Canis lupus familiaris: one gene and its partner. The protein of the gene in region 1 purifies or fractionates together with the protein of each later gene. This does not show direct contact. Links are inferred from orthologs where the notes say so. Each region holds a gene or a part of one and is shown on either strand. Other genes may lie near its edges.

What was found.
Region 2: the proteins of RRM1 (region 1) and RRM2B purify together in Homo sapiens (affinity purification with western blotting; 3 studies listed by BioGRID and IntAct, counting the BioPlex papers as one, with this or other methods). This does not show direct contact. The link is inferred for Canis lupus familiaris from reciprocal best matches to the Homo sapiens genes RRM1 and RRM2B.

What each region holds. Positions count from the first base shown.
Region 1 is NC_049242.1:26,736,885-26,752,597, forward strand, and holds the end of RRM1 (ribonucleoside-diphosphate reductase large subunit), read left to right. Parts: intron 1-2,585; coding exon 2,586-2,735; intron 2,736-2,937; coding exon 2,938-3,159; intron 3,160-5,084; coding exon 5,085-5,161; intron 5,162-7,936; coding exon 7,937-8,072; intron 8,073-8,919; coding exon 8,920-9,015; intron 9,016-10,087; coding exon 10,088-10,276; intron 10,277-12,312; coding exon 12,313-12,501; 3' UTR 12,502-12,946; downstream 12,947-15,713. UniProt on the Homo sapiens protein: Provides the precursors necessary for DNA synthesis. Catalyzes the biosynthesis of deoxyribonucleotides from the corresponding ribonucleotides.
Region 2 is NC_049234.1:3,952,014-3,968,756, forward strand, and holds part of RRM2B (ribonucleoside-diphosphate reductase subunit M2 B), read right to left. Parts: intron 11,185-16,743; coding exon 11,029-11,184; intron 7,741-11,028; coding exon 7,624-7,740; intron 6,879-7,623; coding exon 6,745-6,878; intron 6,030-6,744; coding exon 5,935-6,029; intron 1-5,934.

The DNA of each region.
Region 1 (15,713 bases):
TTGTATTTATTTATTTGAGATTGAGCATGAGCTAAGGAGCAGAGGGAAGGGGAGAAGAAGACTCCCCACTGAGCAGAGAGCTCAACACAAGGCTCGATCCCAGGACCTTGGGATCATGACCTGAGCCAAAGGCATATGCTTAACCAACTGAGCCACCCAGGCACACCAGTTGTTTTTTTTTTTGTTGTTGTTGTTTAATCTTATGAAAAAATTTTCCATTTGGGAAGAACAGCCTGTCAGATCTGAGACAGGAATAGGTTTTATGCAGAGAATGTCAAGTAAGTTTGTTTTGATGGAGCAAATACATTATGGTTTGGTATATGGAGAGATAGGCTATGGCTGGGGGAGGGGAGATAGTAGGTGAAATGTCTGGCATGTCACAGAGTAGAAAGCCCTCATAAGTTCCAAAAAGGAAAATAGCTTCAAAAGGCTGGGATGTGAAGGATAGTTCTTGTTTCTGGTAATAATTGAGTGTCTTGCTGTGAAAGGAAGTTGGAGGTTAGCTTATGGAGATTATTATAGTTTTTGGATGACAGGCTGCTTGGATGTTGGATGTAAACTTTGGAGATGAGGAAGAAAGAGCAGATACCATCTGCTAGGACCTAAAAAACATGACAAATGAAAAGTGGGGAAGAAAATGATTAAGTGAATTAAACATACTGCAGTTTAATTTAGCCAGAGGTAGTGAGCACTAGCTATAGGTAAGGCACTGTACCAGGTGCTCTGGGATGTAAATGATTATGGCTCAGGCCCTGCCCTTTAGAAACTTATAATTCATTATTGGAGAAAATATACCATACTCAAGTAACTATTGTACAGGATAGATTATGCTATAGAGACCCTCTTAAAACACAAATCAGACCATATCATTCCTCCACACAGCACTCCTCTTTGACTTTCCGTCCCATGCAGAGTTTGTTCATTCTTTTTTAAAATTGAAATATAATTCTCATACCATAAAATTCATCCTTCTAAGTGCACATATCAGTGTTTTTTAGTATATCTACAAGGTTGTGTAACCGTCATTAATATCTAATTCTAGAACACTTTCCATCAACACAGAAAGAAACCTTGTATCCATTAGCAGTAGCTTGCCAGTTGCCTTCCTTCCCCATCTCTGGCAACTCTTAATCTGTTTTCTGCCTCTGGATTTGCTTCTTGTGGACATTCTGTATAAACAGAATCATATAATATGATATGGTGGTCTGTTCTATCAGGCTTATTTCACTTAGCATGTTTTCAAGGCTTATCTGTGTTGTAATATGTATTGGTATTTTATTCATTTCCATCCAGAATTCCTACAGTGCTCTGAGTTCATGCACAACTGGGTATGCCCATCTCATCTACTGTTAGTTTCCTCCTTGCTCACTGTGCTCCCGCCCTATAATTTCCAGATATATCAAGTACACTCTGTCATCAGGATTTATGCTTTTACTTTGTTAAAATGCTCTCCCCCGCCAAATAGTCACATGGCTTGCCGTCTAACCTTTTCTTTTTTCTTTTCAAAGATTTTATTTATTTATTCATGAGACACACACACACACACAGAGGCAGAGACACAGGCAGAGAGAGAAGCAGGTTCCATGCCGGAAGCCCGACATGGGATTTGATCTTCGGTCTCCAGGATCAGGCCCTGGGCCGAAGGTGGCACTAAACCGCTGAGCCACCCCGGCTGCCCCTAGCTTTTCATTTCATTGTTCGTATGTCTCATTCTCAGTGAGGTCTTTCTTGTCAACTCTGTTTAAAAATGGCACTCCTTCTGTCCTTATTCCTAGAACCCTTTTGTCTTTTCCTGCCTTATTTCTCTCCCTTGCATTCATTAGACTTGTGTAGTCTGAGCTGTGCTTTAAACATGCATAACGTGCAGAATTGAGTAGGTACGATGAGCATGAGAGAGTCTAGTTGAGAGGAGTTGAGATTGTGGGTTAGGATAGTCATAATCAAAATGAAAAAGAAAGTGTATTCATTTAACATTATTAAGCATTTTTTATATACCAGATGTGATACTAGTACTAAAAAATATAAGGGTAAATGAAATACAATTCTTTCCTGGAAAAGTTTACCACCTAGTGTAGTGTAGTGGAAAATCACCTGAAGAGCTTTTTTAAAATTCACAAACTTGGATCCCCTGTTGTTAGGGGCTTATCAGAATCTCAGTGAGAGTAAGGGAGGATTGTATAATTTGGAAGACCTTTTTACAGTGATGGAAATGTATCTGGTAGTTACTGAGCACATGACTAGTGCAACTGAGAAACTGAATTTTTAATTTTTTTTAAATAACTATATATGACTAGTGGCTACTGTATTGGACAGCACACATCTACTGACAGACAGATACACGTAAGAAATTATAGCACGATGGGAGGTATGTCTGGACTATGGAACACAGATTCTCTGTCTTATCTATTTCACTGGTCCATGTTACAACTCACATGTGAATAGGTACTGGGATTTAGAAATGAATTATGAAGAGGTTGAAGATAAAGATAAAAATTTTATAGTGTTAGAGGCTTACATGATGTCATTGACACAGGGGGAAGAAATAAAAATTGTGTGATTCTTGACCCATTTTCATTGCATTCCAGGTTGCAGTCTGTAACTTGGCTTCCCTGGCCCTGAATATGTATGTTACATCAGAACACACATACGATTTTAAGAAGCTGGCTGAAGTCACCAAAGTCATTGTCCGAAACTTGAATAAAATTATTGATATTAACTATTACCCTGTCCCAGAGGTATGAATAGAGGTCTTTGCTTCTTGGTAATTATTGAAATTAAGTTGGAGGGAGTTTATAATGGTCTGCCAGTCATCATTTAAATGGCTATCATTGGAATGATGTGAGAAAACAGATAAAAAGAGAACATGTTATTATTTGGTATAGATTGTTGCCTCTCCTGTTCAATAATGTCTCCTTCTTTAAATCTCCTGGCACAAAGGCATGCTTATCAAATAAACGCCATCGCCCCATTGGAATTGGGGTACAAGGTCTGGCAGATGCTTTTATTCTGATGAGGTATCCTTTTGAGAGTCCAGAAGCCCAGCTACTGAATAAGCAAATCTTTGAAACCATTTATTATGGAGCCTTGGAGGCCAGCTGTGACCTGGCCAAGGAGCATGGGCCATATGAAACCTATGAAGGTTCTCCAGTCAGCAGAGGAGTAAGTATATGGATGAAATTTCTTTTTGCCTGTGAGTTCCTATAGTTGGCTGAATGGTAGTCTTCAAAAAGATATTCGCATCCTAATCTCTGGAACCTATGAATGTTACTTTTTTGGATTTAAAAAGGGTCTTTGCAGATGTAATTAAGGATTTTGAAGTGAGATTATCCTGGATTACCCCAGTGGGCCATAAATCCAGTGACAGTAGTCCTTGTGAGAGACAGAAGAGGAGGAGGCAACATGACCATGGAGGCAGAGGTGGGAGTAATGCATCTAGAACCCAAGAATGCCAGTAGCCACTAGAACTGAAAGAGCCAAAGAACAGAATCTCCTCTAGAGCCTGTGGAGGGAGTGTGGCCCTGCCAACATGTTCATTTTGGGCTTCTGGCTTCCAGAACTATGAGAGAATAAATTTTAGTTATTTTAAGCTGCCAAATTTATGGTGATTTGTTATACCAGCCATAAGAAACTAATATGGTACTTTTGCTCTCTAGAGTAAAAAGGATACTCTATTTTAATGTTTTTTTTTAAGATTTTATTTTATTGTATTATTTATTTTTAGATTTATTTATTTATTTGAGAGAGAAAGAGAGAACAAGCTGAGGGAAGAGCCAGAGAGAGAGGGAGAAGCAAACTCCCTTCTGAGCAGAGAGCCCCATGTGGGGCTCGATTCCAGGACCCCAGGATCATGACCTGAGCCAAAGGCAGATGCTTAACTGACTGAGCCACCCAGTTGCCCCAAGATTATATTTTTAAGTAATCTCTACACCTAACATGGAGCTTGAACTTACAACTCTGAGATCAAGAGTTGCATGCTTCACCCACTGAGCCAGCCAGACACTCCTTTATTTTAATGTTTTATTTAGAACTAGTCATTGGTAAAAGTGACTTAAGAAGAATACTAACTGTATTAGTTTTCTTTTGCTAAATTTAGTTAGATTAAAACAACATACATTATCTCTATTCCCTTGAGTCAAGGATGCAAGCTTGCCTAGCTGGGTTTTCTTAGGGTCTCACAAGGTTATACTAAAGCTGTTGATAGGACTATGGTCTCCTCTTGAGATCAGAGTCCTTTTTGAAGCTCATCTGGTTGTTGACAGAATTCATTTGTACTTGTAGAACCCATGACATTGTGCTTCTTCAAAGCCAGTAGGAGGGAGAATCTCTCATTTCAGGAAGGCCCCAGCCCAATTGCTCTTCTGAGGGTTTTCATCTGATATGTGAGGTCTACCCAGGATAATCTTTCTTTTCTTTAATCAAAATTAATTGATAAGTAACGTTAATTACACTTGCATAAACTTTTCACCTTTGCCATAATTATGTGAGTGACATCCACCACATTCCCAGTTCTTGTCCACACTCAGGAGGACATTGTACATGTCCTGGCACCAGGGAGTCAAAACTTGGAAACTGTCTTAGAATCTGCTTCCCACACTGCCTTCATTATTGGTAGTATGAGTCTCTTCAGTGTAAAATAAAATATTATGTTATTTTTAGTCCTGGTGTTCCTGCTGATATTTAGGAAATCTGATAACTAGTAGTTTGAAAACAGGTATTTAATAACTAAATAAATCAATCAAGGCAACTAAGAAAGATGGAATTTTTACTGTACAAAAAGAGAATGCATCTCAACAACATACTTACATGAATATTGGGATTTCCTGATTTGTAGATATAATACGGATCTTCTGAGGGCTCACAGCAGGGATTTGGGGAAAAGCTAAGGCTTTACCAGTTTTCTTAGCCTGCTTTTGATCAATATGACTGCATGAAAGTTTGTCCAGGGAAATCTTTGGACCTTTGGACAGTTCTACTAGAAGACATTTGTTGGGTTGTGGGGCATGGCAGATAGTCATTTGGTTTTTGTTATGGTTTCAAATTGTTATAGAGTGATTTATCATAAATTTGCATTGTTTGTTCTCTAGATCCTTCAGTATGATATGTGGAATGTTACTCCCACAGAACTATGGGACTGGAAACTTCTCAAGGAAAAGATTGCAAAGTAAGCAAAGAGATGTAAGGTAGCTTTGAAGTAAGGAGGGTTGGTTCTCATTCTGGCTTTCAGAAATTAGGCATGTTATTTAAACTTCTGAAACTCATTTTTTCTCTTTCAAATGGGGCTAAAATGACCTATCTACAGAACTATTTTTTTTATAAATTTATTTTTTATTGGTGTTCAATTTGCCAACATATAGAATAACATGCAGTGCTCATCCCGTCAAGTGCCCCCCTCAGTGCCCGCCACCCAGTCACCCCCACCCCCCACCCACCTCCCCTTCCACCACCCCTAGTTCGTTTCCCAGAGTTAGGAGTCTTTCATGTTCTGTCTCCCTTTCTGATATTTCCCACTCATTTTTTCTCCTTTCCCCTTTATTCCCTTTCACTATTTTTTATATTCCCCAAATGAATGAGACCATATAATGTTTGTCCTTCTCTGATTGACTTATTTCACTCAGCATAATACCCTCCAATTCCATCCATGTCGAAGCAAATGGTAGGTATTTGTTGTTTCTAATGACTGAGTAATATTCCATTGTATACATAGACCACGTCTTACAGGACTATTTCTGTAAAAATACTTTGTAAGATAAATGTATGAACAGTAACCTACAAATTGCTTGGTACAATGAAAGCATTTTTAAAAAAATATTTTATTTAAATTCAATTTGCCAACAAACAGTGTAACACCCAGTGCTCATCATCAAGTGCCCTCCTAGTTCCCCCATCCGCCCACCCTCATAAATGGTAGGTACTATTGTTAGCTGGTTATGTTTTAGGGGTTTAACTACCTGGATGAAGCAATTCTTTTTCTCATTAAACTTTCATATTTCCAAGTGTGCTTGCTTTTTATATGTTTTTCACTTTTATTTGTTGCTTAACTCTACTGGGCTCCTAAATGACTTTTGCTGAATTGATTGTCCTAGGAGTAAGTTAAGGATTTTGGAAGAGCTTTTGGAGTTTAATGTATTAAATTGTGTGGTAGAAAAATGTAAATCTTGAGGTTGTTAAGGCTTTTCAAATTAATAAACATAAAAGGTTTAAAGGTGGGAAAATGTTTTGCTTAGTGAATAATAAAACAAATTGTTTTTACTTTCTTCATGAGCCTATCCTCTCTGGGTTAATGCATATCCAAAGTGATGTGTACAGGAGGAAGCAGTTGCTTTTTGTCTTAAATTTGTTTATTTGCCTTTAAATTGTTTTATTACTAGGAAAAAAATGTTTTAAACTAGGAAAATGTATGTGTGAAAGGGAGAAAAATGAAAATTATCCCAGTACGACCTCCTCCTAAAAACCTGTTTATATCTTTGTCTTTCATTTTTCAGAATTTCTTCTGAATGTGTATATTTACATACAAATTCAACTTTTACAAAAAGACCTGTATTTTATTTTTTTTTCCAAATACTGTATAGATATTTTTCTATACATAACTTTTTAGCATTTCACAATTAATACATGAATAACAAAGTTCAAATATGGAAATAAAACAGAAGGTGAAAGTTCTTTTTAATCCTCTTGTGCCAACTACTTGTTCTACAAAACATAAGCCAACTTATTCCTTTTCCTAGAAATAAACATTTTCTAGACCTTTTTCAGTACATTTAGAGATGCACAGTTTTGTTTTAAAACTGTGATCAAACTTGACATATTCTAAGACTTTTAGTGATTTATTTTGGCCATCTTTTCTTCCTAGTACATGCAGATCTACCTAATGCTTTTAATGGTTACAGAGCATTCCATAGTTTGGTATGTCCTGTATAGATGACTTTTCAAAACATTTTCCTTTCTTTGGACAGGAAATCACTGTCCATTTTACTGAGGAAGAAAGACATGAAGTGAGTTGATCGTTTGCTTGATGCCTCAAAACTAGAAAGTGAGAAAGTGAGATTAAGATCTCAGTTGTATAGATTCCATTAGGATATGAAGCTTTAAGCTAAGTACTGTATAAATCCAGAGGTATAGAATATAAGAAAGATAAACTCTATGTTTGAGAAACTTAAGACTAAGTAAGGGTAAGACATGAAGTATAGGTAAAGTATATATATAAAGGTACAGGTCATAGAAAATGTTTGCAGGAGAAATATTTATAACTAGTACTTATTTTTAATATTGTCTACCTGGTCAGGAAGATGTTCCTAGAGTGGTCATCTCTTAGGCTGAGCTTTGAAGGATGAGCTAAGAGCAGTTTGAAGATTTCTCAGTGTTCAGATAGTATATTCTTCCCTAAGCACGTTCTTTGTCAGTGAGTAGAGTCAAAAGATGTTAACCTTCCTCTCTAGGAACTTATGATTGAAGAAGTAATAGAAGTCAGGAATATACTTTGAGCATAATTTTTCCCTTTGGAGAATTTTGGTGACATGTCCGATTCTGACCACTTTCACATCATTATGTTTCCTGAAAGGGCTTAGCACAGTGATCAAATGAGCACTTAGAAAACAATGAGGATTGAATGAATGTACCCTGATTAGGACTCTTCAACAGCCATTTGGTTATTTCCTTGGGGAAGCTAGTGTATCAAGTGCTAATAAGTCATAGTGTGATAAGAATCGCCAGCAGTAAAATTGTGCTAATTTTGTTTAGGAGTTTAGGAGAGGGGTGAGCTATATCATCCATACTGTGAAGTTGCGTCTCTATAGCGGTTAAATTCAAGTCATTATGTGAGTCTAATGCATGTATTATGTCACTCACAGCATCTGCATTTACCCCAGTGACTTAACTAGCTACCTTCCTGGCAGATTATAGCTTTAGTACCAACACCTAATAATCTCCTTTTCTTTAGGTATGGTGTAAGAAACAGTTTACTTATTGCCCCAATGCCTACTGCTTCAACTGCTCAGATTCTGGGAAATAATGAGTCCATTGAACCTTATACCAGCAACATCTATACTCGAAGAGTCTTATCAGGAGAATTTCAGGTGAGAAGATTACGACTGGACCTACAGGAGATCTTGCAAAAGCGTGATGTTAGGAGTAAATGCCAACTCATGTTTGGTATGTCTCTTTTGCTTAGTATGGGTGCAAAGCTTTGATACAGTGAGTCATCTTCATCTCCAATATTATTCTGTGTTATTTGATAATAGACATTCAATAAATATCTGTGAAAAGAATAAATGATTGAAGGTTGGGTAGAAAAGTAACTTCTTGATATTAGAGTTCACATATTTAACCATTATGTAATCATAATTATATGCACTGTAACTTCAGATGTTTAAGTCGATAATAACTCAAGATGTATATAGAAGCAAAAAGTATATGGAACCATGACAATTGTTTTCAGCCTTGTTTACAAATTAGAATTTCTGGTGGATAGGACCAGTGTTTTTTAATGTTCCCAGATAATTCTAATGTGCAACTAGGGTTAAGAACTACTAATTTAAAAGATTTTTATTTGTGAATTTCCAGATCTGAAATAAATTTCTTTAAGTTTGGAGTGGATACATTACTAATTTTTCTTAACTATTTATTGTATCCTTACTTGGGGGAGGGGGAATTAATCCCCATAGATTTACCCATTTTAGGCAATGCTAGTTCTTTTTACTTTTGCAAATATTATGTTTCTTGAATTACAGATCAAGATTTTAAAGGAATATAACTTTTGATTGGTAGGATGGGCCTCTCAGTCTTACAAGATAGAGAATTTACCGACTAATCTAATGTTAAATACTTCTTCAGTGATCTTATTTACTTTAAGCTCCAAGCCTGTGATCCTATTTAGGCCCTGTCATTCTTATTTATTCCTTGACATCTTGGTTTTTTATTCAGATTGTGAATCCTCACTTACTAAAGGATCTTACTGAGCGGGGCTTGTGGAATGAAGAGATGAAAAATCAGATTATTGCATGCAATGGTTCTATCCAGGTACAGAATGAAAATCATGTGTGTTCTTTAGAAGCTACATTGGTACCTTCTCACTTATCCCATGCAGTAGAGAGAAAGGTTATTCACTGTGGTCATTTAGGCTATGTTCACCTTTGCATTGTTGTGCTAGGATTATATACATCTTCACATAGCTAGGCTTTTACTGTCTTGTTTGTGCAATAATATAAAGCGTAGTTTCCAACTTCTCTGTACTTTAGAATCAGTGGGAGCTTTAAAAATTTTGAAGCTTAGGTTGTACTCCCAAACAAGTAAATTAGAATGTCTGGAAATGGGAGCCAGGCATTACTATTTTTTAAAGATGCCCTAGGTCATTCCAAAATGCATCAAAGTTTGGGGGACCACTGATATAAAGTGTGAAATTAGAAAGTTAAACTTAATTAAAAAGCAAAAGTGGAGACTGAAGACTCAAAGTCCGAAAAACAGAGCCACAGATATTGTTTAACAATAGAATATTTGCAGCAGAGAATCAAGAAGTATTTATATGTAGATGGAGCCCTCTGTCTAAACATTTGTTTCCTTGGCAAAACAGAGAAGGATTTCTCTAACATTTCTATATTTGCTGACAGAAATTGTAGCATTAGCTAGTTTGTATGTTTTGATGGCATATTAACCCTAGACCTAAGAAAACATTATTTCTATTGACTCCGAAACAGGTTCGTTTCATTGCTTCCATTGATTTTCTACTTGTGAGTTACAGTCCTGATTACTTGTGTTTTCTTTAAAACTCAAGGATCATTTGTTGCTGCTTAGCTCCATCTTTTATTAAGTACCTCTAAAACAATGAATGTTTTGACTATAATCCAAATAGAAATGGATCTTAAATCATTACCACCAGCCAGATACTTTGTTGGTTAAATGAGGTTTTGTTGGTCATTCCAAGGCAGAGGTGAGCAGTCTTGGGAAACTTGATAAGGATCATATTATATGATACTGAATGGTATGGTCAGATCTGGCAGGAAGAATTAAGGCCAGACCCTTGTGTCGTTAATTATGTTAATTATACTGATTTCTTCAGCCAGACTGTGATAAACATTTGGTTTTCCTTCTTCAGAGCATTCCAGAAATCCCTGATGACCTGAAGCAACTTTATAAGACTGTGTGGGAAATTTCCCAGAAAATCGTTCTTAAGATGGCAGCTGAAAGAGGCGCTTTCATTGATCAAAGCCAGTCTTTGAACATCCACATTGCTGAGCCTAACTATGGCAAACTCACCAGTATGCACTTCTATGGCTGGAAGCAGGTTGGTAGAGGAAATCAAGGAGGACTTGTTGCCTGCTTGGGATATTTTGGAATTGGAACAATACAAATTCCAAATACAATTTTGTATTCTAGCTACTTAATATTGCCATCTAGCAGTTCTTCCACTTCAAATCCAGTATGTTAAAACCAAATCATGGTTTTTGTACCAGATCAGGGGCTCACTTTGGATATCCTTGTTTCTTTTGGGATTATTTCATTCTTAGGTTTGAAACCTTGGAGTTACCTACACTTCTCCCCTTATTCTCCATACAATTACTCACTAAGTTGTGGTGGTTGTTCCTTTCTACTATTTCTTGAATATCTTTCTTCCTGTTCCATTGCCATTATTCTTAATTTCTTAACTGATCTCCCTGTTTCTGGTATCTGCTCCAGGCTGTCTTGTGCACTGCTATCATTTCTAAAGTAAAACTTTATGCCTATCAACCCACTATTCAAAAACATCCATTGTTTCCCCACTTTAACTATCTACAGTATAAATGCCAGTTACCTACCTTGGCATTGCCAGCTGTAAAGTCCTATAATCCTGTATTCTATCCTTTTTTACCTGGCAGTCTGCTGGGTATTTATATAGATGTATATATATTTTTTTAATTTAAGAGACATTTATTGAATACATCCTGTGTACTAAGACTGAGGATACCAAATAGAAGATATGATGATCTTTATCCTTGAAATAGTCATCATCTGTTCTTTATAGAGACGCAGTCTAGCTCCCTAAATAGTTAAAAAGCAGACATGTTGTCATAGGCAAACTTGGAAGTCATACACATAATACAAAACCTAGAGAACAAAAATATTTGACATTTCCAAAGAGGTAAGCTTTTTTAGGGATAAAAGGAATGTAATATACTGTCTCTTTTTTTTTTCTTTTTTAAGGAAGAGTGGACTTTTAAAAAAGTTTAAATTCAATTAATTAACATATAGTATACTATTAATTTCAGAGATAAAGATCAGTGATTCATCACTCTTATATAATACCCAGCACTCATTACATCATATGCCCTCCATCATCTAGTAACCCTATCCTCTCACCCGCCTCCTCTCTGGCAAACCTCAGTTTGTTTCCTGTGATGAAGAGTCTCTTATGGTTTGTTTCCTTTTCTGATTTCATCTTGTTATATTTTTCCCTCCTTTCTTCTATGATCCTCTGTGCTGTTTCTTAAATTCCACATATATGAGTCAGGTCATATAATTGTCTTTCTCTGATTAATTTATTTCACTTAGCATAATGCACTCTAGTTCCATCCATGTTGTTGCAAATGGCAGGATTTCATATTTTTTTGATGGCTGAGTACTATTCCAGTGTGTGTGTGTGTGTGTGTGTGTGTGTGTGTGTGTGTATCCATTCATCTGTTGATGGACATATGGGCTTTTTCATAATTTGGCTATTGTGGACATTGCTGCTATAAACATTGCCGTGCAGGTGCCCCTTCAGATCACTCCATTTGTATCTTTAGGGAAAATACCTAGTAGTGCAATTGCTGGGTTGTAGGGTAGCTCTTTTCAACTTTTTGAGTAACTTCCATACTATTTCCAGAGTGACTGCACAAGCTGGCATTCCCACCAAAAGTATAAGAAGGCTCCTCTTTCTCCTCATCCTTGCTAAAATCTGTTGTTTCCTGATTTGTTAATTTTAGCCATTTTGACCAGTGTGAAGTGGTATATAATATAGCCTTTTATCTGAGAAGACATTTACAAATATCTTCTTTCATTCTATTAGTTGTCTTTTGGTTTTGTTGACTGTTTTCTTTGCTGTGCAAAAGCTTTTTATCTTGATGAAGTCTCAATAGTTCATTTTTGCCTTTGTTTTCCTTGCCTTTGGAATACTGTTTGACTCTTCCTTTAAGCATTTTTGAGAAGGCTTCCTAGAGGAGTTGGAATTTCAAGTTTAGAAAACATTCTGACGTGGTTTATGGAAATGTATTTTAAACATTGGTCTTGAATGTCTAGTGTTCTTACAATTTTTTTTGTTTTGTATTCTTACAATTTCTGATAGTTGTATTTGCTTCCTTGTAGGGTTTGAAGACTGGGATGTATTACTTAAGGACACGACCAGCAGCAAATCCAATCCAGTTCACTCTAAATAAGGAGAAGCTGAAAGATAAGGAGAAGGCAACAAAAGAAGAAGAAGAGAAGGAAAGGAACACAGCAGCCATGGTGTGCTCTTTGGAGAATAGAGAGGAGTGTCTGATGTGTGGGTCCTGAGGAAAGGCTTAGAAGAGACCAGCACTTCTTCACAGACAAACTACTTCTTGAGCATAGATAGGCATTGTAGGTTTGTTTGAAGTGCTAAGGCTTTGCTGGATCTCATTGCAGCAAAAGGATCAGTCAATTTAAAGTACTGTTTCTATATAGTGTGAAAGTATTGATTTTAAAAATTGGTATTTTGGGAATCAAAGTAGAAGTTTTAGGAGTGCAAAACAAGTCACCTTGCAAATAAGGAATGATTGAGTAGGGTTTCATTGCCCACCTGGCACCCCTTTTCTGGTGACCTCAGTTTTCATAAGGAGACATGGTTTTGCTGCTTTGACTGGTGAGTCCATAGACGCAAAACTGAGTCCTAACCTGTGAGAAGTGCTGATAGGACCTTTCTCTGGATAAGGTCCTATAGGTCATTCTGAAATAAACATTTCTAAGTGATTGTGTGAGACCAAATTTGTCATTTATTTTCATACAAAGGTCAAATTTGGAAAAAAAAATTTCTGTTCTTTGAGAGTTCAGGGAAGAAATTTAAAAAAAAATTACTTAGATTCTGTGTTGAATTCTGATCTTAACATATGCCTATTTCCTCTTTTTATTGTGGTAAAATATACTTAACATAAATGTTACTGTTTTACCCACTTTAAAAAGCATACAATTTAGTGCCACTGAGTACATATATAATATACAACTATACCACTACTACCTATTTCCAGAAATTTTTTATCATCCCAAACATAAACTAAAGCAGTAATTCCTCATCTCCTTCTCTTAATCCCTGGTAACCTCTGTTTTACTTTGTCTTTGAAGTTACTTATTCTAGGTATCTCATATAAATGGGATACTATAATATGTGACCTTTTGTGTCTGGCTTTCTTCACAAAGCATGTTTTCATGGTTCATGTAGCATATAGCAGAATTTAATTCCTCTTAAAGGCTGAGTAATATTCCACTGTATGTCACATTTGTCTACCCATTCATTTGTTAATGGACATTGGGGTTATTCCCACCTTTTGGTGATTGTGAATACTGCTGCTATGAACATTGATGCATAAGTATCTATTTGGATTACTGTTTTCAATTTTGAGGGGTTTGTACCTAGAAGTGGAATTGTGGGACTATATAATTCTATGTTTAACTTTTTGAGGAACTGCCAGACTTTTCTATTGGAGCTGCACCATTTGGCATTCCTACCAGTTGTGCATGGGAGTTCCAGTTACTCCACATCTTTGCCAACACTTGCTAGTTTTTTGTATTTTTTATAATAGCCAACTAATGGCTTTTGACAGTTTGATTTTTATGTATCTTGGTGTGGATCCCTGAGTTTATCCACCTTGATCGTTGGACTACTTGGATCAGTAGCTTCACACCTTTCATTAAATTTGGGACGTTTTTAGCCATTATTTCTTCAGATAATCTTTTTGCCCCTTTCTCTTTCTTTTCGTTCTGGGACTTCCATAATGTACCTTTTGTTCCACTGCTTGTTTCCCACAGTCTCTTAGAGTTCATTCACTTTTCTTGATTCTTTTTCTGTTCCTTAGACTCAGTAATTCCAACTGTCCTATAATCATGGTCATTGATTCTTCTTCATGCTCACATCTTTTGAGCCCCTTTAGTGAAGTTTTTATCTCGTCATTTTCAGCTCTAAAATTCCTGTTTGTTTCCCTTGAACAGTTCCTATCAGAATATCTATAAATATTCTGATTTTAATACATTGTTTTTCTGATTCCCTTTATTTGTTTGTCCATGTTTTCCTTTGGCTCTTTTTTTTTTTTTTTTTTTTTTTTGGAAGTTTACTCTTTTATTTTTATTTTTGTTGTTGTTGGTGTTCAATTTGTCAACATATAGAATAACATCCAGTGCTCATCCCATCAAGTGCCCCCCTCAGTGCCTGTCACCCAGTCACCCCAACCCCCCGCCCACCTCTCTTTCCACTACCCCTTGTTCGTTTCCCAGAGTTAGGAGTCTCTCATGTTCTGTCTCCCTCTCTGATATTTCCCACTCATTTTCTCTCCTTTCCCCTTTATTCCTTTTCACTATTTTTTATATTCCCCAAATGAATGAGACCATATAATGTTTGTCCTTCTCCGATTGACTTATTTCACTCAGCATAATACCCTCCAGTTCTATCCACTTGATCACCTTTTCCACAGTATATCACATCGCTCCAGTACATTGATGACATGTTGATTGGGCCTACTGCTGATTGGACCTAAGAAGTAACAACTACTCTAGACTTACTGGTAAAATAATTGTGTGTCAGAAAGTGGACAATAAATCTGACAAAAATTCAGGGGCCTTCTATCTCAGTGAAATTTCTAGGAGTCCAATGGTATAAGACATGTTGAGATATTCCTTCTTTGGTGGAAGATAAATTGTTGCATCTGGCTCCTCTTAAAACCAAAAGATAGGCACAATGCCTAGTGGGCCTCTTTGGATTTTGGAGGCAGCATGGCAACATGTTCCTCATTTGGGTGTGCTACTCTGGCTTAACCAAATGACCCGAAAAGCTATTAGTTTTGAGTGGGACCAGAAACAGAGAAGACTGGAACAGGCCTAGGCTGCCATGCAAGCTGCTCTGCCACTTGGGCTATACGATCTAGCATGTCTAGGGGGCTGAAGTGGCAGTTGCGATAAGGGATGCTATTTGGAGCCTCTGCAGCCTCTTAGGATTTTTTTTTTTTTAAGATTTTATTTATTGATTCATGAGAGACACAGAGACAGGCAGAGACTCAGGCAGAGGGAGAAGCAGGCTCCCTGTGGTGAGCGTGATGTGGGACTCTATCCCAGGACTCCGGGATCATGACTTGAGCTAAAGGCAGATGCTCAACCATGGAGCCACCTAGGTGCCCTGGGCTCTTAGGATTTTGAGCAAAGCCCTGCCATCCTCTGTTGATAACTACACACTTTTTGAGAAATATCTTTTGGCTTGCTGCTCAGCCTTCATAGAGACTGAATGCTTAACCATGGGCCACTATGCAACCTGATCTGCCCATCATGAACTGGGTGCTATTTGACTCACCAAGCCATAAAGTTAGGCATGCACAGCAGTATTCCATCATCAAATGATACACACACTGAAGTGGTATATACAAGAAGCCCTGGAAGTACAAGTAAGTTATTGAAGTGGCCCCAAATGCCCATGGTCCTCACTCCCACTAAACCTCTCCCAGCCTGCACCTGTGGCTTCATGGGGAGCTTCCTATGATCAGTAAACA
Region 2 (16,743 bases), on another chromosome or scaffold:
GGCAAGGACTGTGCAGAAGTCCATCTCCTCAAAGGTCTATAATGGAACTATATCTGTAATACTGTCTCTAGGGGTTAATTATAAGTCTAACCCAAACAAATGTCACCACATTACATATGCTCAGGAGAAGTATTTATATATGTTTCTGTCTAGGGAGAAAGGTTTGGTTTATAAGACTGTGAGGATAAAGGCAATGGAGTGCTTAAATGACAGGTCTGTTTCATCAATAACATCATAGCTTGTATCCCAGTACTGTCACACCAAACACAGAGTGGGTGCTTGATAAATGTGTTCTGAACTGAATCAGTGGAAAATATCTAGGCACCAGATGACAAACATTACTATTCATTCTATGAAAGCTGCTAAAATCTGATCCAGAATACTCAAAACTTTCAGAACAAAGGTAATTATAATATTTAAACTTCAAAAAGAAAGATGACTTAAATATTTCTGGCAGTCTGTAAATAGCGCTCTGGTTTGTCCTCATTCTTTTCTCTGATTATCTTAAATAAATCAAATCAGATTATATCAAATATTTGCCTATTAGAAGCCCAAAAGGTCAGAAAAACTTCTATAGCATTTCATTTTTACAGATACAATTTTAAGTCATTTTGAAAAAAATAACAGAAGAAAGGTAAATTAAATAAGTACTTACTGAGTATTGACTGTGTAGAAGGAATTAAGACTCTTTAGTGTACTAAATACAAAATATAATAATAATCACTATGGTCTGCTGAGTCTTAAAAACAAAAACAGCTCTTTAGGAGCACCTGGGTGGCAGTCAGTTGGGTGTCTGCCTTCGGCTCAGGTCATGACCCTGTAGTCACAGGATCAAGTCCCGCATCGGGCTCCCTACTCGACAGGGCGTCTGCTTCTTCCTCTGTCCTTCACCCCACTTGTACTCTCTCTCTCTCTTTCTCAAGTAAATAAATAAAATCTTTTTTAAAAAATATTTTTTAGACTAGCTATATTTTTTAAGATGAAGATTCCTTATTTTAACATATAGATTGTATTTTCATCTTGCTATTAGTAAGATAATAGTTACAATTGATGCATTCTTCATTGTCACATAAATGTGAGAGAACTAGACTATAACACAAACATTGTGAATAAGAGGAAATTTTTATTTTAACTATTCTATGCATTCATGTAAATGCTATAGAATGAAAATCAGGACAAAAATCATTATAGAAGGCAATTCTTTTTGGAAAGAATTAAAGGATTAAGAGAGGTAAACTTTACAAATTTCAGGAGTAGATGTAAATTTAAAAGACTTCCAAAATATTTCTTCTAAAAGCTTTAATGAATGTGAAGGCCTCATGATTTTAGAGATGAGAAAGTACGATACAGTTTTTTTTTAAGAGGTAACTTTATTTCTGCCATATTTCCTTTAACTTTTCATTTCAATAATTTCACTCAGAATGTATAGTTCTTTGTTATGTGGGTCCTACATAATGAAAGATTCTTGTGATGTACAAATTTATGTCTCCAGCAGATGCCCCACTGAGTACAGAGCCTAAGGTGGGGCTCAATCTCACAACCTTGAGATCATGACCTGAGTCAAAACCAACAGTCTGATGCTTAACAGACTGAGCCACCCAGCTCCCCACAAAGCCTATTCTTTAAAATGATACTCTCAATTATTTGTTCTCAGGGTCTTGTACAAAATATGTGAAATTCTAGCTTTTTTTTTTTTTGCATGTACAGTTGACCCCTGAACAACAAGGAGTTAAGAGTGCTAAGTCCTTGTGTAGTTATAAATCCATATATAATTTTTGACTCCCCCAAAACTTAGCTATAATAGCCTGCTGTTGACTGGAATCCTTATAGATATAACAGCCAACACCTATTTTTTTTTGTTTATATGCATTATATACTGTATTCTCACAATAAAGCTACAGAAATTTTTATTAAGAAAATCATAAGAGATAAAAACTTTATAAATCCCCCGGAGCCCAAGCAGTGTGAAGAAGAGGCGAGAACGACCCCAGGACCGGCCAAAGCCTGTGTGCCGCTGCATCCCCGCGTCCAGCGCTTACGTCCCGCCGCCGTCGCCACCATGCCCAAGAGAAAGGCTGAAGGGGATGCTAAAGGAGATAAAGCCAAGGTGAAGGATGAGCCGCAGAGAAGATCTGCAAGGTTATCTGCTAAACTTGCTCCTCCAAAGCCAGAGCCCAAGCCTAAAAAGGCCCCTGTAAAGAAGGGAGAGAAAGTACCCAAAGCTAAAAGGGGAAGGCTGATTCTGGCAAGGATGGAAATAACCCTGCAGAAAATGGAGATGCCAAAACAGATCAGGCACAGAAAGCTGAAGGTGCTGGAGATGCCAAGTAAAGTGTGTGCATTTTTGATAACTGTGTACTTCTGGTGACTGTACAGTTTGAAATACTATTTTTAATCAAGTTTTATAAAAATGCAGAATTTTGTTTTAAAAAAAGAAAATCATAAGAAAAAAGAGAAAATACATTTACAGTACTGTACTATATTTATCGACAAAATCTGCATATAAGTGGACCCACATAAATCAAACCCACGTTGTTCAAGAGTCAACTGTAATGGGAAATGTTTATTCTTTTTTTGTCCCAAAAGTTTACACATTAGCCTATTTGTTTTTCTGATCGCTGACATTTGTCCAAGTAAGCTATACAGACCTTTTTCTTTTAACCTTTTGACTGCTTTCACTCATTTCTCCTAACCCCTATGCTCCACTTCTTACAATCACCGATCTATTGTATCTATGAGCTTAGATTTTAGTTTTTAGTTTTTTTGTTCTTAGTTTTCACATATAAGAGAGATCATATAGTATTTGTCTTTCCCTGTCTGACTTATGGCACTTAGCATGATACCCTCTAGCTCCATCCATGTTGTTGCAAATGGTGAGATTTCACTTTTTTTTATGACTAAATAATATGCCATTATTATATCCCCCACTACATTTTCTTTACCCATTCATCCATTGATGGGCACTCAGGTTGTTTCCTTATCTCGGCTATTATAAATAATGCTGCAATGAACATGGGGGTGCATATATCTTTTTGAGTTCATGTTTTAATTTTCTTCAGATAAATACCCAGAAGTTTTATGGTTTGGGGCCATACATTCAAATCTTTAATCTGTTTTGAGTTAATTTTTGTGTGTGGTGTAAGATAGCAATTCAGTCTCATTCTTTTGCTTGCAGTTGTCCATTTTTCTCAATACTATTTATTGAGAGGACTGTGTTTTCCCCATTGTATATTGTTGGCTCCTTTGTCATAAATTAATTGAACATATATGCATGGGTTTACTTATGGGCTGTCTATTCTGTTCCATTGATCTGTTTTTTATACCAATACAATAATGGTTTGATTATAATATCTTTGTAAGATAGTTTGAAATCAGGGAGCATTATGCCTCCAGCTTTATTCTTTCTCAAGATGTTTGCCTATTTGGGATTTTTTTGTGGTTCCATATAAATTTTAGTATTATTTGTTCTATTTTCTTGAAAAATACCATTGGAATTTTGATAGGGATTGCATTTAATCTGTAGATTGTTTTTGGTATAATGGACATTTTATTTTAGCAATATTGATTCTTTCAATCTGTGAGCATGGAATATCTTTCCATTTATTTGTGTCTTTAATTTCTTTTACTAATATCTTAGAGTTTTCAATATACAGGTCTTTCATCTCCTTGGTTAAACTTATTCCTAAATATTTTATTCTTGTTGATGCAACTGTAAATGGGATTGTTTAATTTCTCTGATAGCTCATTATTATCATATAGAAACAAGATATTTCTGTATACTAATTTTGTATCTTGCAACTTCACTGAACCTGTTTATTAGTTCTAATAGTTTTTTTTAATGGAGTCTTTAGGATTTTCTATATATAGCATGTCATCTGCAAATAGTGAGTTTTACTTATTCCTTTCCTATTTGGATGCCTTTTTTTTTTTTTCTTGCCTAATTGCTCCAGCTAGGACTTCTAATACTATGTTGAATAAAAATGGCAAGAGTGGGCATCCTTGTCTTGCTCCTGATCTTGAGGAAAGGCTTTCAGCTCTTCACAGTTGAGTATGTTAGCTGTGAGTTTGTCGTACATGTCCTCTATCATGCTGAGGTATTTTTTCCTCCATATCTGCTTTCTTGGGTTTTTATGATAAATGGATATTGAATTCTGTTCAATGTTTTTTCTGCATCTGCAGCATGGGTTTGCTTGAGAGCAAGCAATATGGAGAATTTACCTAGAGCTCTGCTGTTGTCACATGGTGACTGCCATCCTCTTCAATTTTCTCTCTAGGTTGCTTTCTCTTTTTTTTTTTTAAGATTTATTTATTTATTCATGAGAGAGAGACACAAAGAGAGGCAGAGACACAGGCAGAGGGAGAAGCAGGCTCCTCACAGGGAGCCAGATGTGGGACTTGAACCCCGATTCTGGGATCATGCCCTGAGCTGAAGGGAGATGCTCAACCCCTGAGCCACCCAGGCATGCCTCTAGGTTACTTTCTTTGGCAGTTATTGAAATACATGCCTGCTGTGAGCCTGTTCATCATTTTCCATTGGTATCTATCTATACTCTTTTCAATATGTATTGAACACCTTGATGTTTCTCTCCTTTTGTCTTTAAAGCCAGCCAGTGTTTCTCAAACCATTTGTGAGAAAATCAGCTGGGTATAAAATGTTGATTCCTCAGTCCTCCCCAGGCCTTCTAAATCTCTCTGGTGAGGACCAGGATTCTGCAGGGTTTTTCTTCAAACTCTCAGATAATTTTTATGCACATTGAGAATGATCACTTTTCTCATTCTTCAAATGAACTGAAGGCATTGTAAACACATCTGTTTCTTCCCTAATATATAACAGGCTTCCCCCATACCTTACTGTGCATCATTGGTTCTCAGTGTGTTTCTGTAAATCCACAGACTGAGGAGGTGTGTGGAGTCAAAACTATTTTTATAACAATGCTAAGGCATTATTATTTTTTTAACCACAATTCTCACATGAGTGTACATTGTGATTTCCAGATACTACATGACATATCCACAATAATCTGAGGAGCCTGGTAAAATAGTCTTCCCTTTTCTAACTACACATCTGATTAAGACTGGATTTTCTTCATAACTATACGATAAACTACGTCAATATTCTGCAACAATTGAATGTTGAAGGAGATTCAATCCAGTTGTCTTCTATTAAGTCAGACATTTAAAAGGTTTGCAAAATTTGGGGGAGGAGGGAAATAGTGTTTTTTCATAAATACATGCTATTAATAATAAAATATAATGGGTTATTACTGCTATTTTTAAATGCATTCATAAATATTTTAACTTTCCTGGTTTTAATTTATAATATGGAAATAACCAGTAAACCACACCAACAGGAGAGTCCTCAATAAGTTTTAAGAGTACAAAGAAGTCCTGAAACCAAAAATTTTGAGACTTGCTTCCTCCATAGTGAATAAAACCAGAAAGTAAAGATGACTAATTATGAAATAGATAAGAATGAGAGGTACTTAGAGCTAGATAAATGGAGTATCTGAATATTTTAAATTAAATATTTATTGAGCAAGTAATATGTATAGTTTTCCAGTAACTACATATTTGTTCCCTGAAAAAAATATGATTTTGACTCGCTTTAACTCTCTTAAATATTTATGAAAGCAGAGACAAATTATGATTGCTAAATATTTTTGTCAGATTCTATATGACTTCTCTTTACCTCTACTTATGTACTAATACCTTAACCTTTCAACTTTCAACTTATTAAACAAAATAGATAACAACTTTATATGATTTTATCACTGGTTCCTAAGCATTAGGAATAATGATTCTAAAAAGTGGATGCAGAGACCTTCGTATCCTTTTCTATTCTGGGACTCTGATTAGTACCTGATAGTCACACCACATAAAAAGTGTTATGTCAACTGAGGCAAGTTTGATCATTTTTAAATTACAGCTACTTACCAAAAGTAGATTTTCTATCTTCTATCCATCGTAAGGCCCAATCTGCTTTTTTCTTAACATATGGCATTGTTTCAATTGCATTAAATAAAAATTCCCTGTAAAAACCAAAGGATTAATGGCAAAGTTATTCATTTTTCTTAATTGGAATAAATTTTCATTAGTTTAATCATCAATAATAATTGCAACTCTATGATATGCTACCAGATCTGTCGTTTTTCTATATTTTGCATGCCCACAAAGTTAAGAAATGAAACTAAAATTCAAATTAGCGGTTTGGATCTGGTCTGACACAAAATTGACTAAAGTCAATATTCATATGTGGTTTCACTCATATGTGGAATATAGAAATAATGGAAGGGATTATAAGGAAAAGGAGAGAAAATGAGTGGGGAAAAGACAGAAGACAAACCATGAGAGCAGAAGACAAACCATGAGAGACTCCTAACTCTGGGAAACAAAGGGTTGCAGAAGGGGAGGTGAAGGGGGAGGTGGGGTAACTGGGTGATGGGCACCCAGAAGGCCACTTGATGGGATGAGCACTGGGTGTTATACTATATGTTGGCAAGGTGAATTTAAGTAAAATATTTAAAGAAATAAAGTCAGCATTCAATTTCTAAAAAGAATGTGCAGTTTTTAAAGCTATAATACCCAAAGATGAACTGGTTCTATACAAGTTTTTTAACCCAACACATTATTAAACAATAAAAAGCATTTGAATAATTTTTCCCTGACATTTGGTTTTGGAGTAAATTCTGCTCTTAACATAAGCAATAGCACAAGCCTCTGTAAATAAAATCCCAGTGGTAATACCTTTTCTTGGGATCTCTGATGTAAGTGTCTATTAGCAAACTGTACATCTCTGAGTGGACATTCTCGATGAGAATTTGAAAGCCATAGAAACAGCGAGCCTCTGGAACCTGTACCTCCTGACTAAAGCGCTCCACCTACAAAAATAAGGGAAACGTATCCAATTCTGTGGGCTCTAATTAAACACTGCAAATCAGAATCTGGACATCAGAATCATCACTTAAAAATTACCTGTCATGCCAAAAATAGGTTAGACAGAATTTATAGGTTATTTTAAGCAATATTATCTATTAACCTTTTACAATAAATTAGTTGCCTAATGTATTCTCAAGCAATTAAATTAATTGACCTGATAGGTGGAGATACTTCTTATAAAGCCAAGTATTTTAGAATGGCTATCAAAAATAATTACTTTGCATTGTAAAATTGACCTTAGGTCTTTATTTTCCCCAAAAGCAGACAGATCGATTGAAGCCCCTTCTATCTAATTCTCTTTAACAAGAAGGTAAGCCTCCTGGCCAACCATGATACAAGTTTAAAAATGGGGAGCCAGAGTACAGTGCCTTATTACAGAGCTCCAGAAGGGTTTTTAATGTGCAAGCTCTCTATTAAGATTACTACCTAAGGGTAAAAATTGAAATCATGTCTACGCATTTTAAGTAGTTTTGATTGGTACAATATGTTTGATTTCATGATATTTTGGTGGTCAAATGGGAGAAATCTATCCTTTTCTTTGACACTTCATCAGAAAAACACCTTTGAAAGTTAAACTCTATCTAGTTCATTTCTTAGAAGTCGTTTTTCAGGCTTAGTCTACTTGTCTTACTGCCATTATCACCATTTAGCTGCTGAATGAGAACAGAAATAAAACAAAAATCTTACCAAATTTTCATTCACGATTCCATCACTGGCTGCAAAAAAGGCTAATATGTGAGAGATAAAATACTTCTCATCTGATTTAAGCTTGTTCCAGTGAGGGAGATCCTTTGATAAGTCAACCTGAAAAAAAAAGATTTTCAAAAATTTCAACTTGGTGTTTAATTCTTCTTAAAGTGTTTGGAAAACTAACTTCTATCTCAACGTTGGGGATGGCCATCTCATTAGCAGTAATGAAATGAAAAAGGAAGAAAAGGAAAAAAAAGTTAACATAACTCTTATAGACTGAATGTTCATGTCCTCCCCCGCCCCCACACCCCATTCACATATTTGAAACTAATGCCCAGTGTGATGGTATTTGGAGGTGCAGTCTTTGGAAAGTTATTAGGTCATGAGGGTGGAGCCCTCATGAATGGGATTAGTGCTCTTATAAAAGAGCTGTCAGAGAGCTTCCTCATCCCTTCTGCCATGTGAGAACGCAAAGTATAAGCAGATATCTCTGAACCAGGAACTGGGACCTCACCAGATACCCAACCTGTTAGAGACTTGATCTTGGAATTCCCAGCCTCTAGAAATGTGAGAAATAAAATTCTGTTGTATGTAAACCATCCAGTCTAAGGTATTACTATAGCAACCCAAATTGACTAAGACTATTACAAAAGAACACAATACAATAAAAGTATTATGAAGGGCTCTATATTCTGGCTAATTGAGGCAGAATAAACTAGTGACTTTCAGCAGCCATTGCTTTACCATGGCATATAATTTACTGTAGTGTTAAATTAGCTACCTGTTAAGCAATAGTAGCTGCTATTGTATTGCCAGCTAATCTACTTTTATACCCAGAAAGTAGTATCTGGCATGTAACAACCTATTATAAAGCAATTTACAGGTATGGCTTTCTCTGGAAATAGAAATATTTTTGAAAATGGGGGGGGGGGGTTCTGGGTGGTCAAGTCAGTTGGGCATCTGACTTCAGCTCTGGTCATAATCTCAGGGTGATAAGATCGAACCCCACATCAAGCTCCATGCTCAGTGGAAGGTCTGCTTGAGATTCTCCCTCTCCTGCTCCCTCTCCCTCTGTCCCTCCCCAACTCTGCTCTCTTGAATAAATCAATCAATCTTAAAAAAAAAAAAAAAGTGTTGGCAATACAATGGAGTTGGGGGGTATACTTGTATATATCTTTTAAAACATGTAAACTAAATATCAGGTCCTATTCTCTTAAGAGCTCAATCAGGATTAACTGACAGACACCTTCCTAGTTTTTATATATTATACTTCTGATATGAAATTTTATACTATAATATACTCATTCTTAAATATTAAACTTACCTTGTCAACCATTCACTTCAAAAAGCCTTATAAATTTCATTTATATTACATTGGTCATCTCCCATTCTTAAAATGTAAACATTCCTACTCAGCTTTTTCTCCTCTAAATAAATTCTCAATTCTACTTTCTAAATATTGATTCTAAACTACTAGTTATTAGAATTGTCTGGCAGCTTTAAAAGAAAAACCCAAAATCCTAGACCTTTTTCTTCTGAATCAAGGTTTCTGATAATTGGTCATATTTAGGAATAAAGCTACACCACAGATAAAACAATGAAGTCTAAGGTTGACATAATTTGTTTAAAGGAAAAATACATGGAACTATATGTGTTTCATTTCCTTTTAAAATGTGTAAACAGGGATGCCTAGGTAGCTCAGAGGTTGAGCATCTGCCCTCGGCTCAGGGCGTGATCCCAGAGTCCTGGGATCAAGTTCCACGTCAGGCTCTCTCTCTCTCTCTCTCTCTTTCTCTGTCTGTCTCTCATGGATAAATAAATAAAATCTTTTTAAAAAATAAAATAAAATAATAAAATAAAATGTATAAACAAAATATGTACCACCTTTGTATTTTAATTTTTTAAATCAGTGTTTTTTAGTTATAATACAACATGTATTACATTTGCTAAAAGATGCAAGTACTTTACAAATGAATTTTAAGAAGCCCAAGTATCACAAGTAGCTTTTTAACATGATGAATGAAAAAGCCACCTGTGTACTCCATTTATTCTGTTAACCATATCTAAAAAAACACATCCTAAAAACCACAGTTAAAAATAGTCAGGTGTGTCAAGCAGTATGACCCAATTAGAAAATACTGAGTTTTTACTTTGTTTTGGATTTTTTGCTCTTTTTGTTAACTAAGTATAACAAAGATGTTACCAATATAACACAAGTGGATAAATGGGTAAAATTAGTGTAATCAAAGCTTCAAAAGTTGGTGTCTTCTGATTTCTACTGTAACTCTCCCTCATTCTGTGTGAAATAGCTTATATTTATTTAGTGCTTACTAAATGCCATGTGACAATCTAAACATCTCATTATTCTCATTCATGAACTTCATCTCATTAATTCTATTCATGAGATTCATCTCAGTAATCCTTATAATAACCCAGTTAGCCAGGTATTATTAGCTCAATTTTCCAATGAGGATACACAGAGAGGTTAAGCAATTTTTCCAGTTTCATAGCTAGTAAGTGGTAGAGTCAGATTTTGTACCTAGGCATTCTGGCTCCAGAGTCTGCATTCTCAACAGTGTGTGCTTACATGTATGAAAACAATCTTCTGAAAAATAGGGAGATCCAAATATAACTATCTAAATAGATCTATTCATTTATCTATTTATCTAGATAAGTGAACACATACACACAGAGAAAGATGAAGACAATGACTATGTGTTCAATTAGACTACAGAGCAACCACTTACATGACCAACTGTCTTTACCAAACCAGCAGGTATTTCCTCATTTATTGTGTTCAAATCATTGTCTAGATGGAAAATGCTGACCTAACATACAGCATACTACAACAGTCCCGGCTGCTGAGGCAGCAGTGCCAGACTGGATGTGACTGAGGACAGGGTAGCCTAGGAGGAGCTCTGGCTGGCAGCTTAGAAGAGAGTGCACTGCCTGAGCAGGCAAATTCTCTGCCACAGCTCTTTCTGCATAATCAGGTAAGTCATTGAAAAGCAGGGTCCCTAGGGCTTTCACTCTCATTTTTTGGCCATAGCACAATTTTATTTATTCTGCTGGCCATAAGTAAAAACTAATCTTATTTGGTCATAGGAAATCAAAAGGCTATTTAAAAATAGAAAATGTTCTAAAATACATTGGAAGTAAAAACCTGGCAGACCGAGAAGCCATTTTTGCAGCGGGAGACGTGTTTATAGACAGCAGTCTACACATAAAACATTGGAGAACACTGTATTTAATTTCAGTAATTTCAGATACTATTGTATATAACTGATTTTATTCAGTTATATGTATCTTACAATATAAGTTAACATTTTTCAATGTCACATGACACAAGATATGAACACTCTACTATGGGGTGTACCTGCTGGCAAAGGTGATAACACTTACCTCTTCTGCAGTCCAGAAAGATGCCTGTGCCTGTTTATACATTTTCCAAATATCAGGGTATTGAATTGGAAAGATGACAAATCGGCGAGAACTCTTTCGTAGGAGTGGCTCTTCATCTGATTTCACTTCATTTTCATTGGTATCTGAAGATAACCTCTTTGAAAATAAAGTACAAACATCCATTTTGTGTAGACATGCCCTTGTTATTCATATCTAAACACATACTGGGGGTAATTTGAGAGACAGCACAGGTTGAGGAGCCCATCTGCCTGGGTTGAATCCTTTACTATTATCTGGAACCTGGTTAATAGTGTTTGGTTAGTCGTGTAACCACAGAAAGTTGCTTCTCTGAGCTTTGGTTTACCCTTATCAGTAAAATGACCCTTACTCTGTAGGTTAAACTTGATGATTAAAAGTGCTTTAAATGGAGCCTGGTGCATAATATGCATGCAGCAAAATTGTCATTATTGCTATTTTAAGATAAGCACAAAACTAAATCCATAAATGTTATGGTGGGCAAATTTCTAAGTTTGTGTATAAAATGTCCCTTCAGTGCCTTTTTTCAGAGATCAGATGCTGGTATGAATAGGCTACTATTATAAACTTCTTTATTTATTTTTAAGAGATTTTTAAATTTATTAATTTAAGATAGCACCAGCAGGGGGAAGGATGAGAGGGAGAGGGAGACGCAGACTTCCCACTGAGCAGGGTGCCTGACCCCAGGACCCCTGGGATCATGACTTAAGCCCATCTGCCTTGCAGATGCTTAACCGACTGAGCCACCCAGGCACCCCTACTTTCCTATTTTAATTCTTTCTAATCTGAACTATTGTAAAACTTACCTGAAAACTCCTTACCAACAATTTAGCAACCTTTGTTCATCTGAACTTTCCCATATACCAATCTGCTATTACTATTTACTTGTTAGCATTACTACAGATGGTCTCACTGTGGACTGGCTCAAAGCTTTGTAGAATCCAGTGAGAAGCACATACTTATATATACATGACTTGGAAATGATAGCATTCCAAAAGGGGACAGGGCCAGATATGTATGTATACATATACATATATCAGAACTATCAGAAGAGTTATACCTTGCATAAGAATGAATATACACAAAGTATATACAATTAGGCTAAAAATGTATAAATAAATGTATACACAAAGTATATACAATTAGGCTAAAAATTGGCATATATTTAAAATCTGGACGCCTAACTCAAACTGACGGTGTCTCTCTCCAGTGTCAGGCCAATCACATTTCTTCATCCTTATCATTGCTTCCACCAACCACACCTCTCCAGAGCAAGTGTGCTAAGGCAAGGCAAGATGAGAAAAAGACTCAAAATCAAAATCAAAGCCTGAGGCTATACAGATCCAGGTAGGGCTTGCACACTGCACACATACTGTCATCATAGTAGAGAGACTGTCTTATTTTGTAACTACTTATTTGAAGGTGTAGGCCTCCCCAGATAAAGAACTTGAGCCCTGGAGAGTAGAAACTACTTTTTATTTATTATGGCATTCCCAGACATAACATCAATAAACGTTAGCTAAGTAAGTGAATGGGCGGCTAATTTCTCTTTATCCTGTGCTTGGGCTACTGGATACCTTTTGAATTTAACATATGACCACAATACATCAGTGAGATAACCATCAATCAAATCAAGCCTTTGCTAAGTACTCCCATATCTCCCTTGTCCCCATCACCCTAAAGGCCTGGATTAAACACATAACTCACTGCATACCTTACATAGTACACAACTCACTGCAATTTAATTCCTTGTTATCCATTTAGAGTCCCCTCCAAACTATGCTTCTTGAGAGTAAAAGGTAACTTTACTTTTGTGGAACCCCTAGAACCTGACATATGACCTGGCATGTAGTTGACATTCATTTCCCCAAATATTTGAGCAAATTTTTAAAATAGAAGCTGTCAAGTTTTTTGTTTGTGTTTCCTTTATATATTTTGTCCCTGGGGTACATTCAGAGCTGGAACTCCTTACCTTCACTGTATTTGCTATGTGAACCATCATACGCAGTAACTCTTTGGTACCAAGCACCCTGGCCCTGAAGGGAGTTTTTAAATGCTGATTAAATAACTTATCAATGTCACTATCTATGAAAACTGCTGAAGACTAGCATCTTTTAGTTAGAATGAAAGTCATTTTTCTATGTAACATTCCTCCTGTTCCGTTCTGATAATATGTACGTTGTTAAGAAGTTGGATTAGCAGAGCATTATGCAAGAGTCTGAATTGAGCTAAAGATGATATATTGCTTATTTTCATGATGTCTTTAAAAATCCACACACATTTTAATCAATGTCAGGAGGACCACACATCCCAAAGCTCTAGGATCTCTAGAATATCCTCTATGGACCTGAGCTAACAACTCATATTTTAGAAGAGAAAACAACGTGGAAAAAAAGACATGATGTCATATGATAGTTTTAAAGAATTGGAAGTAACTTTCTAAGTTTGGACTTTACCATATGTGGGGGACAATGGAAGAAGAAAGCAATTAGAGACTATCCAAATGTGTTCTGAAGAACTCTGCAGTCCCTCTAATGTCACAAATGCTAGATTAAGATCTCACTATGAAATGTGTTAAGCTGTTAAAATAGTGGTAAAAAAAATAACAGATATATTCCAAAATACACAGAAAGCCACCAATCCTTGTGTTTCCAGGCTGCCATCTTTCTTCTTCTTTTTTTTTTCTTTCTTTCTTTTTTTTCTGGATGACCTCAGATAAAAGTTTTTCTAGCCATCTCTGCTTAATTGAAGACTGCATAAGATTTAGAGAAAGGTAGTTAAAAAGAAAAGAAAACAACAATAAACCCTGTAACCATTTGTATGTGTTTTTCAGAAGTGAACTAAGGGGCATCTAGGTGGCTCAGTCAGTTAAGCATCTGACTCTTGGTTTCAGTTTGAGTCATGATCTCAGGGTCATGGGATCAAGCCTCGCCTCGAGCTCTGTTGTTGCTCAGCGGGGAGTCTGCTTAAAGATTTTCTCCTTCAGTCTCTCCCCCTCCCCACCACTCTCTCTGTCAAATAAGTAAATAAATCTTTTTTAAAAAATCACTTATCTAGAAATGTGGTCAGATTAGAAATTACAGGGGGAGAGAACAATGAAAAGATCATTATCCTACCCAAATCTTGCCTGAACCAGGGTACCAGATGTAGAAACACAAAAGAAAGCTGCTTTAAGAGATATTCAGAAAAAAAAAAAGAGAGAGAGAGAGATTCAGATTCAGAAGTAGAATTAATCATTCTTGCTAAAAAATTTGGATTTTGGAGAATGGAATAAAGAAGAGTTGAAGGTGTCCTTGAGATGTCCAACAACTGGATGATCACAGCAAGAAGTAAAGACAAAGTGCTCAGCATCTGGAGAATAACTGAATAAATCAGACAAAAACTCTTGCATCTCATATTAGATGTTTAATAAAAGCTTGATTTGAATGAACTCCCCCACCAACCCCAGCTACAACAATAGTTACAAACACAACAGTCTTTAAAAGTTCAACTTGGTCAATAAAAAACATAATTCGATCAGTTTGAAGATATCCAGTAGGCAGCTAAAAATATAACACTACAGCAGATGAATGGTGGCCATCCATCCCACTATTAGTCACCAAAGGGGTTATCCAGGGAGAAAATATAGAGAAACAGCACAGCTGAGGATGCAGCCGAGAAAATGCTGACATTTGAAAGGACAGGTGGAAGAAGAGGAACCAGCTGGGATTAAAAGTGACCGAGGTGGATATAGGACAATCAAAAGCAAAGGCAGAAGTGATTTGATTTGGCTAAAGCCATTTCTGTCAACAGACAAAATAGAGAAGAATTCTGTGAAGAATCCACACTCTGGATATCAATCAGGGTAAGAGGTTAGGAATTAATTCTGCGGGCCAAATATTTTCAAACATCTGGGGGATTGAGAGGCTCATACTCCAACTCTAACTACGTGCCCCTAACCCCCAGGTACTGGTATTCACTGTAGGGCTGTTTGAAAAGCATTCTTCTGGATAGTAATAGAGAGTTTCTGAATATGAATTATCATGTATAGGGGTGGCATCAGGAGGATTCATTGGCTATCTATCCAGGATGAGCTGGAAAAGGAAAAAAAAAAAAAACATAGATTTTGGTAGCAACCATGGTATTGATCTCAGGGGTGCAAATGGTAGCCTGATTTTTTTTTTATTTAGTTTTTTTCAAGTTATTTAAATTCTGGTTAACATAAAGTACAATATTGGTTTCAGGAGTATAATTTAATGATTCATTACTTACAGCATCCAGTGCTCATCACAAGTGTCCTCCTTGGTACTCATTATTGATTTAGCCCACCCTCTGACCACCTCCCCTCAATCAACCCTGTTTGTTCTCTATAGTTAAGAGTCTCTCTTATGGTTTGTTTGCCTCCTCTCCATTTTCCCCCTTTCCTACATTCACCTGTTTTATTTCTTAAATTCCACATGAGTGAAATTCTATGGTATTTGTCATTCTCTGACTTATTTTGCTGAGCATGATGCTCTCTAGCTCCATTCACATCATTGCAAATGGCAAGATTTCATTCTTTCTGATGGCTGAGTAAAATTCCATTATATGTATCGCCACATCTCCTTTATCCATTCATCAGTTGACAAATATTTGAACAAATTTCATAAATTGGCTGATTGATAATGCTCCATCAGGGTGCGTATGTCCCTTCAAATCAGTATTTTTTGTAGCCTCTGGGTAAATACCTAGTAGTGCAATTGCTGGGTCATTGGGTAGTTCTATTTTTAATTTTTTGAGGAACCTCCATCTGTTTCCCAGAGTGGCTGTATCATTTTGCATCTCACCAACAGTATAAGAGGGTTCCCCTTTCTCTGCATCCTTGACAAACATGTTGTTTCCTGTGTTGTTAATTTTAACCATTCTGACAGGTGTGAGGTGGTATCTCATTGTAGTTTTGATTTGTATTTCCCTGATGATGAATAATGTTGAGTATCTTTTCATGTGTCTGTTGGGCATCTATATGTCTTCTTTGGAAAGATGTCATGGCAGCCTGAATTAAGATGTGGTGGTTAGGGCAACCCGGGTGGCTCAGCGGTTTAGCGCTGCTTTCAGCTCAGGTTGCCATCCTGGAGACCCGGGATTGAGTCCCACGTTGGGCTCCCTGCATGGAGCCTGCTTCTCCCTCTGCCTGTTTCTCTGCCTCTCTCGCGCGCGCTCTGTGCCTCTAGTGAATAAATAAATAAAATCTTAAAAAATAAAATAAAATAAAAATCTTAAAGATGTGGTGGTTAGCATGAAAAAAGCTGCTTCAACATGGCTTTGCCAGCCTATGGAATGGGATGCTTTTGGTGGGAATTGAGACAGTCTCAAGAGTTTTTACTTGAGAGGAGTGACATAGAGGCACTGGTTTAGTGAAGGATTAATTTAGCAATGGTAAAAAGAGTTAAACAGTGGGTAAGACTGGAGGTAAACAAGTCATTGTAGCTTCACAGTTATGAAGTATAAGACCCTGAAATAAAGTTCAGAACACAGAAGCATTTCTTGGCAACATTCCACTGTGTCTTCCAGAATGGTGCCTCTAGTTCCTGTCTGCCTTAGTTTCTGGTCACTTCATCCCAAGAGGATATGCCAGAACAGATTCCCCAGCTAGTACTCACCATCCCCTGGAGTAGGCCGGCATGCTACAGCCCTCCTTCTCAATCCAGCCTCAATTCCACC